Linked DNA regions of Oreochromis niloticus. The protein of the gene in region 2 purifies or fractionates together with the protein of the main gene of each other region. This does not show direct contact. Links are inferred from orthologs where the notes say so. Each region holds a gene or a part of one and is shown on either strand. Other genes may lie near its edges.

Region 1 (3,559 bases), on a different chromosome or scaffold from region 2:
CACAGTGCACAGCGAAGGGTGTTTGCATCGCCATGGACTGAGAGGGTGCCCACCAGGAAAGAAGCCCCTGCTCCAAAATTGCTGACCACATGGACAAGACAACATGGACCAGTCAACGATCAAAGTATTACGGCCAGACAAAACAATAACTGAAATATGGCCACAATGACAAGATGTTGTTTGGAGGAGGTGACCTGTTAAGCCTGGTGGTAGCATCATGCTCTGGGGCAGTTTGCTGGCAGTGGTGCTGGTACTTTAAACAAAATGCATAGAATAATGATGAAGGGCTACCTCCAAATTCTTCAACCTCACCCCTATTTAACAGCTTGCAGGTTGAAGCATCAAGAAGTGTGGTCAAAACCCAGTCAGAATTATGCAAGTCTGTTGATGGCTTCCAAAAGTATATGATCAAGGTACAACTTGCTAAGGGAACCAAATAATCCTGAGGATGTGTGAATATATTTGACCCTGTGTGGGTTGGTGAAAATACGAAATAAATTGAAACTTGTTCTCCCAACTCTCATTTTTTTTATTCATTAAAGATATATGCTATACAATCATTTCACCCTGCAAAAAGAACAGATCAAACAAATCATTAATAGGTTAAAATTATCCATGGTGAGTGTAAGTAAACTTCCATTTCCACAGTGATGCAGTGACTTTCACTTTCGTTGTCAGTAACCTTCTTATGGCAGCTCATGCAAAGGTTACCAACTTTAGTTACGAATGAAATGTAGAGTTGATCTATTAGCTAGGAAAAGGTTATGATAATGCTGAGAAAAAAAAATCAAACTGCGATAGAACATATTATTTGCTACTCTACTGTTAGCTTTGTTAGCTCTAGTCACATTCACAGTGTATAGTTACATGTAAATATTTAGCAAAAAGAATTAAAAAATGGTTCAAGTACTACTTATTAGAAGCAGAAAGCCGGTTTAATGCATTTAGAGACTCTAAAATGTAGCTATGTTAGCAAGTATGTCTAAAATAACCGGCTATGCGGCTAAGGCTACAAGCTAACGCGTTGTCATACCGTGTTTCATCTGAATGATGCTGCTTGCTGCAACATTATCAGCGGCGACGAGGACAAAATCCTGTCCCTGTATCCCGATTAAATATTCCATTCTGTTGAACTGACAGAAGTTGGAGTATTTATATAAAACAGATTAAATTATGAGCAGTCTCTTTGCCTCGCCTGTATGGATTACACAGCAAAAGTTTGTGATAGCCGGCGCACAGTGTTTACGTCACAGCAAAGGAAGCTCGTGTTTTCCACGCGACGCGGGCGGGCAATTTGAACGTTCGCTGTTGTTGTGTGCCCTGTGTTGGTTGAGTTACAGTCTGATCCGCTGTAAGAGAAGAAAAAAGATCTGGAGTTTCTTTAGGAGACTGTTGGGATGAACGAAGGGACTCCTCGGAGCATAATGACGGACTCTAATAGCCTTGACAGCTCGCAGCGGAGACGTTCCCCGCGGCTGAGCTCTCCGCAAGCTCAAAGTGACAACAAAATGGCGCTGCCGTCTCTCGCTGTTAAACGCTCAATCACTGTGAGAAAAATAGCGCCCAGAAAAACAGTCGCGTTATCGGAACAGAACAAGGAGAACACGCCGAGGCCGTCCAGCTCTGAGGGCATCCAGCAGAAAAAGCAGGTCTCCACGCCCGGTCCCGTCCCCGGCCGAGAGAGCAGCTCTTCCTCGGCTAAGAAGAAAAAGAAGGCCGCTATGCCTTCACCGATCCTACCCTCATCACCGCCGCCTGCTTCTCATCCCTCGCAGATGGATCCAGAAGACGCGGTGTGGTCGCAGAAGGTACGCCGATCTTACAGCAGGCTCAGCGAGAAGTCTTTCAACAGCCCCGAGTCTCGTGAGACCTTATTCGGCTTTGAGAAGCTGAAAACCCCAGAGGTCCGGAGAGCCGGGGTGTCCAAGTTTGGCCTGGAGGTTTCCGCAGGATCATTTACAGGACTGAACTCATTCACGTCTTTGCTTGAGGCTGATGACTGCGGTGGTTCAGCTTTCCCCGAGCCGGACCCAGACATCCCCGGAGTGGCTGTGGTGAAGGAGAGGAGGAGGAGGAAGAAGAAGGTCCAGCAGATAGACACCACGGAACTTGACGCTCTGGCTGCACAGATGAATGCAGAGTTTGACCAGGCTGAGGAGTTTGAACTGGTCGTGGAGTAAATATTCAAGGGAAAAGAGAAAGACTTGGGCAGCATGCTTGTGTTTGTCACAGACATGCACACAAACACTGACTCTGGGAGGACTCTGCTGAAAATGTGCTTTTCTTACTCTAAACATTCAAGTTTTATCTGTTTTTATTTGTTCTTATTGTAAAGTTTGATCATTTTGGAGTTTCCTGTGTTTATTTGTTCCTGTAAATGCTCTTAATGTGATTGCTAGTCATTTTGTGGATGCTTGCAGACAGGATAGTTTTTGATGTTATAATGGCCCCATAGTTACACAAACAAGACCAAAATTAAAATTTTTAGATACATTCACCTGTAGTAAAATCAGTCAGGATGCAACAATATATCAGCAAATATCAGGGTTGTTGACTGGCGCTGGTATTTTTCAAATAAGATGCCTTTCACTGATTTTTATCTGGTGTGTGACCATCGCTTTTACTCTGGTGGGATGTTAAAGGCTTTTAAGACAGTTGTGTTCTTATTATAATCTTATTATGAATATTTCATTATCTCCCCTGGCATAAGGGTTGAATAAATAACAATAAAATGAAGACAAAAAGAATCTTGTGTCACCCTGGAAGCATAATACAGGGGGAGTTGTAGCCTTTAAAGGGGCAGTTTTCTACCCTGTAGAGTACATTTTGTTTCTCTTAATGTTTGTAATAGAGGCTGAAAACAAAAGATTTTGGTATAATTTTCTATATCTAAAACCAGGATATTTCCTCTTTTATAGAGTGTTTGAATCCACATTTATTGACACAAAGGTTCTATAGCAGTTGCCAATACTCTCGTCCTGAACTGTTTTCTTATGTGTCTTTTCTTGGAAATTTTCATGTAAATAAATGCTAAAGCTGGATCTGACTTCTGAGTCAAAGTAAATTGTTTTATCCTTTATTTTTCCCAAATTACACACAAATTCCAACAATATCTTAATTTATAAAACAAAAGAAATAGAAAATAACAAAGACGACCATCACAGACTTGCAACATTATAAATGGTATTTTCATCTTATTCCAGCTGTAAAATGAATATTACACAGAAATCTGTTTATTTAATCTGTCACTAGTATTCTGAGGTTTGAAATGTGTACTGAGTTATTGCCTGATGATGGCACTCAGGATTAGCCAGCACAGACTAACAAGGTGCTAACCAAGCACGCTGACAGCAAAGAGGTGGTCTCCAGTGGTTATGATGAGGTGAACTGAATGACTGAGTGGGCAATGTGTCTCTGTTTAATGAGAGTGGTGGACATTTTTCCTCCAGAGTCTCTTAAAGGAGTTGATAGAGGATCATTTGCACTAACAAGGAGCTATGTTCTGAGTAACCAATGCTTCTTGAAAACTTGTCAGGATTTGTTGATTTATTTATGACTT
Region 2 (3,753 bases):
GCCCAATAACTGCACTGCCTTAAAATAAACTGTGACTGCTTGTAGTCTTACTTGAAAATATAAAAATCAACGCTCTCTCTGTGTGCCTCGTGTTGAATACGGCAGAGCAGATAGACTGGAGATCAGCCACAGACACAAAGAAGAGTCAAAGACAACTGTATTCATAATAGGACTTGAAGCCTATGAAATCCATGGGCTAGAGACACTGATGCTTTTTTCCTGTCTTCTGAACTGCAGTGATGAAACAACACAGCACAGTGATAAACTGCAATATACATGCCTTAGGTTGATATTGTGATTCATTTGCCTACTCACAAACATGGTCAGGCATTTAAACCTAATTTATTTGAAAATGATGGTCTGTTTTTTCAATAATGTGGATAAAAATATGTGTTTAATAAATGTTTTCACTGCAAAAACATTGTTGTCGTGTAATCTTTTATTGTGTATTTGGCAAGTGCCCTTTTTCATGCAAGCCAACATAAACCTCTTCATAAAAACAAGACAAAGGAATGACCAATATTTATGGGTTTAGATAATAAATCCTGTCTAGACAGGCATAAATGCAGCAGTAGAAGCAATAGTGACACCTACAGTGGCTTAGAGCTGGCCCTTGTGACTAGAGGTAAATTTAGATCAGAAGCCTTGCATCTGTTTCTTACCTATAGTCGCCTTCCACATAGCCGTATTTTTTATGCATAATCTATGAAAGCGATGAAACATGTCGCTTTCATAGAAAACTTAAACCAATGTTAATCTGAATTTTGAAACATCAACTCCTAGAAAATAATTAGTCAAAATTACTGTTACAAAACTGTCTGCACTGTGTTATTTAAAGACACTATAAATAATTTTGATAATAATTAATACAATAATTTTGATCATTATTAACACAGTCATTTTTTTTGTTTTTGTTTTTTACCGCTTTTAGTCTTATATTTCCCACTGCTGCTCATCAAAACAATTTTGGCGCCCAGAGCGCAGCCTGCTAGACTGTACCAACTAAACAAACAGAGAGGCGAATAAACAGCAAGATTAAAAGACCTAATGTTATGTCGCAAACATAACCTAACCGTAGATACACATTATATTATTGTTATATTTGAATTTTTACCTTTCATATGAATTATTTAGCTTCCCCACATGTAGGAATATAGTGCAAGGATATCCCTACAACCTGGTTTCACAAATTGGTATCATCCATTCTATCCCGCCCCCGCCGCCATTTTCCATGTTATTCTTTCCTGCCTTACAGTATTTTATGATTTTTAATGCAACAGTTTGATTGTTAAGTTTGGATTATTATAGTTGTGTTTTCTCCAGCTTGGCGCAGGGAGTGTTTCATCTCCAAATTTGCAGAGGAGACGCCCTGGATAAGCAGCCATGTATATTAAACAGGTAAGCTAACGAGACCAGACTGATACGTGTTGCCGACTGTTACTGGTCTAATAACAAGAATTAGGCCAGCTTAACGTTTTTCCACTGAATGATAAATATATTGCTATTATACTTTGAGTGAGGCTTCACTTCACAAAGTAACGTTGATTGGATTGCAAAACTGTGCACAGGCACTCCATAAATGGCAAACGTTGTGTAGCTATCTAGCTAACGTTAGCTAGCGCGATTTGAATTAGTGTAGAAGTGAATTGCCCGTCCCCTTCTCGAGATGCTAAGCTAACGCAACTAGGCCAGCCTTAGGTTTTCTGATTTATATGCTTCTTTTCATTGTTGTTATAACGTGTAATGTTGTATATGATGCAGAATACGAGAGTTTATTGTATAGTTGTCGGCTAACTTGGCATTGTTGATTTCAAGCCTTCAAAAATGTCCTGAATGAAAGTAGCGGTAGACCATCAGAGTGACCATCAGCCAAGGCCCCGTTGCCTCGTTTTACCTGTGATGGTGCTATTCAGCATAAACAGTTGACACATCTTATGTTTAAAAATATTCATAGACCCGGGAGCTCTTTGACCATGTTTACCTATAGTATGCGGTTAAAATGTTGCACTGAAACAGCTGATGTTGTAGTCGGTGTGTTCACGGTGGTCTCTGGTTCCCTGTGCAGGTGATCATTCAGGGGTTCCGAAGTTACAGGGACCAAACTGTGGTAGACCCCTTTAGCCCGAAGCACAATGTCATCGGTATGTGTTCATCCACATCTTTCCATAATTATTTTGTATTGCACCTGAGTTGCTAATCAGGTTTTTCGGATACTTTGTCCTATATGTCACCATATCCTCATTTTGTGTTTATTTTTCCCTTCATCTTACAGTTGGGAGGAATGGATCAGGAAAAAGTAACTTTTTCTATGGTATGAAGCCTCAAAACTTGCTGCAATATAGAATTCAAACATTTAGACTTCAGTGACATTGCTGGTTGTTATCTAAGACTTAACTTCCGTCTCTCTTTTTTTTTTTAGCCATCCAGTTTGTGCTCAGTGATGAATTCAGCCACCTGCGACCTGAACAACGCTTGGCCCTGCTCCATGTAAGTACAGGAAAATGTGAGTCCCATTACTGGGAACATCAGCCTTTAGTGGGAAGGTATGAATGCAAGCATGCTTGCTAAATAACAGATTACTCTCAGTCAAAATCTATGCATTTTTCTACCTGTGCCAATTGGCAAAAATGTTTTTTAAAAATTAACTTTTATCACAGTGCGGGTGATTTTGCTTTAGCTTTGACTAAAATCTCTTTGGTAGATGCCAAAACCTGTGTGTAAAAAATCTCTCTCTCCCTGTCACTGTAGGAGGGAACTGGTCCACGTGTCATTTCGGCTTTTGTGGAGATTATATTTGACAACTCTGACAACCGACTGCCGGTAGGAATGGCAAACATTTCAAATTTATTCTATTACTGTATTTTCTGCTTGATTTCATTGTGGTATTATTTAAACATTTACATAGGCCTCTCAAGGAATATGTGTGTATGTGTTAAATAAACGGTCACTGAGCCGCTTGTGGCTAAACGTGTGTATGATCATATAGCCTTTTTTCAGTGCTGATATTTGTTTCACAATTAAATTTGCATTATTGTTTACATTGGTTTGTATCAAAGTAAACCTCAAAATAAAAAAGGAAAACACAATAAACTAAAGTCAAAACAACCAGCAACATCAACCCTTTTATGCTTTCTTTTGTAACAAGACTCTTAATCTTGGGTATTAAAATGGTGAACATCCTTAGTCCAATTTAAGTTGTTCATGTCATATTGAATATTGAAGTCTCCTGGTGAGAACTGTTATGAAGACCACTGATTGCACTGCGTTGCCTTCAGTACACACAGTCCTTCTTATTCTGATGATGAAGGGCGGATGTCTGTGAAATGTTGTAGCCTGGTAATACTGTGGCATAACCTGCCAATTATCCTCCTCTGTGTGACTCTCAGCTTGCCCAGTGATAAATGCATCTCTTTCTAGATTGACAAAGAGGAAGTCTCCCTTCGTCGTGTCATTGGAGCAAAGAAGGACCAGTACTTTTTAGACAAGAAGATGGTGACGTAAGTATTGTGAGGGATCAGCTGTCCATGTTAAATTTGCCATGTTAAAATTACTGCATGTGTGATTCCATCTATTCTATGCACTCTTCTTGTTGCAGTAAGAATGATGTCATGAACCTTTTGGAGAGTGCTGGCTTCTCTCGGAGTAACCCCTACTACATTGTCAAGCAGGGAAAGGTGAGAGAGGAGTGCAGTGCCAGGCTCACTTTTTTTTTTCCTTTTTTTTTTAATGCACAGTAGTTTTGGGTGATGTGAA
Region 3 (3,753 bases), on a different chromosome or scaffold from region 2:
CGTGCAGAGCAGCTGCATTCCTTGATAATAGCGTTGTTCCATTGATGTGGAAAACCTCAGCTGTTTTTTGTTTTTTTCCTCTCCCCAAAGAAAACAGGTGCAAGTGAGCCTATGAGGGAACCATCTTTGGATTTTTCAGAACATGCTCTCTGAAAAATATTATATGCAGATTGGTTATTGAAATTGCAGAGATTGGTCAGTCTTGAGGAATCAATTTAAGTGTGTGTGCTGCAGCTGTGACAAATGTAATTCTTTGTTATTTTACAAGTGTCGTACATTATTAGTCTTCCTCACTTAACTGGTTGCTCATTTCTAAAGCATGGTGTTACATTTCTCTGCCTCTTTATTCATTGTTTTGTTGTCACAGACTGACGCAGCTGGAGGTGCGTCGCCAGATGAGGCAGCAAGGAGACGGCCCCTGGTTCCAAGTGCCGACCCTTAACAAAGAGCTAATTGACAACAGCCCCAAGTCATCACCTGACCATTAATCCAGATGTTTCTGTCATCTGTACATCAATCTCACTGTTTGTACATTTTTTCCCATATTGCGTGAATAAAGTATCTATATGAACTCTGATATTCATGTTTTAGCGTCTTAATTCGGTTCATGCAGCAAACACCTTCACCATGATGATATTACAGAGTTACAGATGATCGGGGATTGGCAGCTTGTGTCAAACCCACTGACACCACCTGTCTTCAGCTTGTGTGAATACTTCTGAGCTGAAATCATCCAATAAAGCTCAAGTTGAACAGTAAATCAAATGTGCATAATATATATGTAATTAAATTTTTTTGTAAATGTATTTATTTATTTTTGGCCGGGGCCTTCATTAAGGAGTTTGCATTTTCTCTGTTGTGTGCAGTTAGTGGGGTTAATTAGTGACTCTAAAAATCTCCTGTGGTTGTCTGTCTCTGTAGCAGCCCGGCATCGAGCTGACAACCTGTCCAGGATGTACTCGGTCTGTTGATAAAGAACAAAATATATCCATCTTTAAAATGCTTAGCCAGGGCTGAGAAAGTTTCAGCCAAGTGCAATTAAAAAAAAACCAAAACTGCACCTTACATTTATTTGTACTGTAAATTCTTCCAGATCTCTAAGGAAGGCTGGATTCCTCTTGGTTTATAGTTTATATTTTCTTGCGATAACCACGAGCGTCCACCGGGTGGCAGAGCTCTGCAGACAAGACTAGCCTGGTCACGTGGACAAAGGGCTTCTTTACACACATGCAGCACTATTTAAAAGTGGACTTAAAATCACATATCAAACATATAAATAAAAATTAGTCATCTGAAGTATATTTTTTGTTTATTATTATCTATTATTATTATTATCTATTATTAAATGACATTTACTGCTCTGTCTTTTTTTTAAATAGACCAAACCGACTGCAGATTGATAAGCAGCTACTAAAAATCAAAGTGTCTTCCATAATCACGCACTTCCTGAATCCTGGAAACTGGAAACATGTTGTAGTAAATGTGGGTGGTCTTATGAATCATCCTCAGAGGTGGGAGGGGCCCTTCTCGTAAAACATCCCCGTGAGCAGGAGCAGCACAGCGGCGTCACCACAGCCAACAGTAGCAATGTAATTTCTGCGCAGGTCCAAGATTTCTCTTTTTTTTGTGGTGGGAGGCAGGAAAAAAGAATAGAAAAACAAAAGAACAACATTAGCTTTCAGCGTTGTGCCGCACCGTGCAGCAGCCTGCCTGCCTGCCTCCACCCCTCTGTCATTTTATTTTTATGTTTTTCAACGTCACATCCCCCTGGTCGCAGGAATGTAGAGACGAAGTGCTTTAAAAATAGCATCCTCTCCTGTGACAGGCGCTGCCCCGGAGGCTCCGCAGCACTGTGGTGCGAGAAGCAGGAATGCGAAGATGGCTGCAGACCTAGGAGAGCTGCTGGTCCCATACATGCCCACCATCAGGGTCCCCAGAACAGGAGACAGGGTTTTCAAGAGCGAGTGCGCCTTTTCTTTCGACTCTCCCGTAAGTGTGCCTGTCGCCCCCCCTCCTCACACACACACTCACTCAGTGAGACACGAGCGGCTTGTTTGGGGAGAGAAAGTGCGTCGTAGGCGAGCTGACAGCTTGTTTTGCACGAGCTCAGCGGCGCACGTGAATCTGCTGTAAATGCGCGTGTCTCCATGGTCACCGTCTCCGCGAGCTTGGGAGGTTAAAAAACAATTAAAGGGTGTTTACGTCTCAGGCGAAAGGGATGAAAGGAGTTTCCTTTGTGTCCACTTCACACCACCCCACTACTACTGTAGGTCCTAACGCAGGCCAGTTAGACCAATAAACGGAGCCACACACCTACACCTGCCTGAAGCTGGGCTCAAATCCTCCACCAGCAGCAGCACAGCCGTGTTCAGGAGTGAGTTTACTGCTCCACTCTTGGGTTTTTATAGTCTATAATTTGTCTGAAAATGACCTAAAGTGCGCCAGTGGTGCTTGCTGGAACTGTGTCCACGGGGATGCTTCTGTTCTCAAACAGCCAGGATTTGTAGACGTTTCAAGACCTTAATGGTGTTGTTTTGGTTTTTAGTAGCCATTATGGCGTCACATGGTGTCTCCGCGACACTGTGACTATAACGAGTCAAAAAGTGAAATATTTGATGCTTCTGCTATTGCTCTCAGCTTTTTCTGTATATATTTTAAAATGCTTATTCTGCTTTATTTTTGTCATTTTACTTTTCTTCTGTGAATAGGACAGCAGTGCCATCATGAACACGGCGGCTGTTTTACTTTACTTGAACCTTTAAGGGGTTTTATGCGCTGATGATGCAGAGTTCAGTCCTTCCTGTACGTGGACTGAACCCTGCATTTTTTATATCTGTCACAGGTACCCTTCCTACCTGTGACAGATATAAAATTTCTTTGCCCCAGTGAAATCTCGCTTTCTCGACTGAAACCGTTTTTAAAGGTGACTCAGCTGTCTGGAGTTCATCATGTTGGCCTGAGGACTGGGTTATTTTTACCCTTGCACTGTTGAGGCTCATATGTCACTCTGGGCCACTTAAAGGTTTATCACGGGGAGGTTTATTAGGCCTGGCCTGGTCGCAGATTTAGGTTAGCGTTGAAGGTATATTTTCCAAGTGTTTTGTGTTCCCATGTGAAGTGAACTGTCAAAGAAAGGAAAAGGTTGATGTTATTGTAGATTTGAAAGCATGTTTAGGTGTCTGTCACCATTCACGTGGACTTTTTTTGATAATAACAAGATGACCAAAGAATCACGTTCTTCTCTAAAAGACATGACACAAGTCAGTCTGAGCTTACGGGCTGTTGCTAAAGGTAAAAATCATTCTCCTAAGAGCTCAGACATGTTGTTAATGAAATGAGTCTGCCTGTAATGGGACGCTTTTCAGTTTCAGAAACAACAGCATAAAATTGTTGTATCATGTTGCTCGTATGAAGCCTAATATGAGAGAATAATCAGTTACTTTCCTTGAATTAAATGACCTGTCAGAGGAGGCATTTGTATTCAAACTAATGCTTGTCAGCAGCACAAATGCTGAAAGGTGGAAAGTTTTTGGTGCAAATAATAATTCTTTGAGCGAGAAAGACTTTGGAAAGTGTCAGAATCACATCTTTGTGTTTGATATTACGGTGATGAGTTTGGCAAATTGGGCAAAATAGAAGATCCTGAAATTGTTCCCACGGTAAGAAATATTTCAAATGTGCTCATAGCGTGCCAGTTGTGCTTTCTCATTGTTACTGTTTGTTTTGCTCCGCAGGAGTCTGAGGGAGGCCTGT

The links.
Region 1: the proteins of smc3 (region 2) and cdca5 purify together in Homo sapiens (affinity purification with mass spectrometry; 7 studies listed by BioGRID and IntAct, counting the BioPlex papers as one, with this or other methods). This does not show direct contact. The link is inferred for Oreochromis niloticus from reciprocal best matches to the Homo sapiens genes SMC3 and CDCA5.
Region 3: the proteins of smc3 (region 2) and usp13 purify together in Homo sapiens (affinity purification with mass spectrometry; 4 studies listed by BioGRID and IntAct, with this or other methods). This does not show direct contact. The link is inferred for Oreochromis niloticus from reciprocal best matches to the Homo sapiens genes SMC3 and USP13.

What each region holds. Positions count from the first base shown.
Region 1 is NC_031985.2:14,020,152-14,023,710, forward strand, and holds cdca5 (sororin), read left to right. Parts: upstream 1-1,365; 5' UTR 1,366-1,397; coding exon 1,398-2,180; 3' UTR 2,181-3,046; downstream 3,047-3,559. Other genes in the region: psmb2 (proteasome subunit beta type-2), read right to left, coding at 1,034-1,124. UniProt on the Homo sapiens protein: Regulator of sister chromatid cohesion in mitosis stabilizing cohesin complex association with chromatin. May antagonize the action of WAPL which stimulates cohesin dissociation from chromatin.
Region 2 is NC_031971.2:30,161,036-30,164,788, reverse strand, and holds the start of smc3 (structural maintenance of chromosomes protein 3), read left to right. Parts: upstream 1-1,195; 5' UTR 1,196-1,383; coding exon 1,384-1,398; intron 1,399-2,065; coding exon 2,066-2,141; intron 2,142-2,272; coding exon 2,273-2,311; intron 2,312-2,419; coding exon 2,420-2,487; intron 2,488-2,748; coding exon 2,749-2,820; intron 2,821-3,417; coding exon 3,418-3,497; intron 3,498-3,595; coding exon 3,596-3,674; intron 3,675-3,753. Other genes in the region: dusp5 (dual specificity protein phosphatase 5), read left to right, coding at 1-23. UniProt on the Homo sapiens protein: Central component of cohesin, a complex required for chromosome cohesion during the cell cycle. The cohesin complex may form a large proteinaceous ring within which sister chromatids can be trapped.
Region 3 is NC_031986.2:45,480,442-45,484,194, reverse strand, and holds the start of usp13 (ubiquitin carboxyl-terminal hydrolase 13), read left to right. Parts: upstream 1-1,579; 5' UTR 1,580-1,878; coding exon 1,879-1,989; intron 1,990-2,037; exon of another isoform or gene 2,038-2,374; intron 2,375-3,734; coding exon 3,735-3,753. Other genes in the region: ndufb5 (NADH dehydrogenase [ubiquinone] 1 beta subcomplex subunit 5, mitochondrial), read left to right, coding at 368-488. UniProt on the Homo sapiens protein: Deubiquitinase that mediates deubiquitination of target proteins such as BECN1, MITF, SKP2 and USP10 and is involved in various processes such as autophagy, endoplasmic reticulum-associated degradation (ERAD), cell cycle progression or DNA damage response.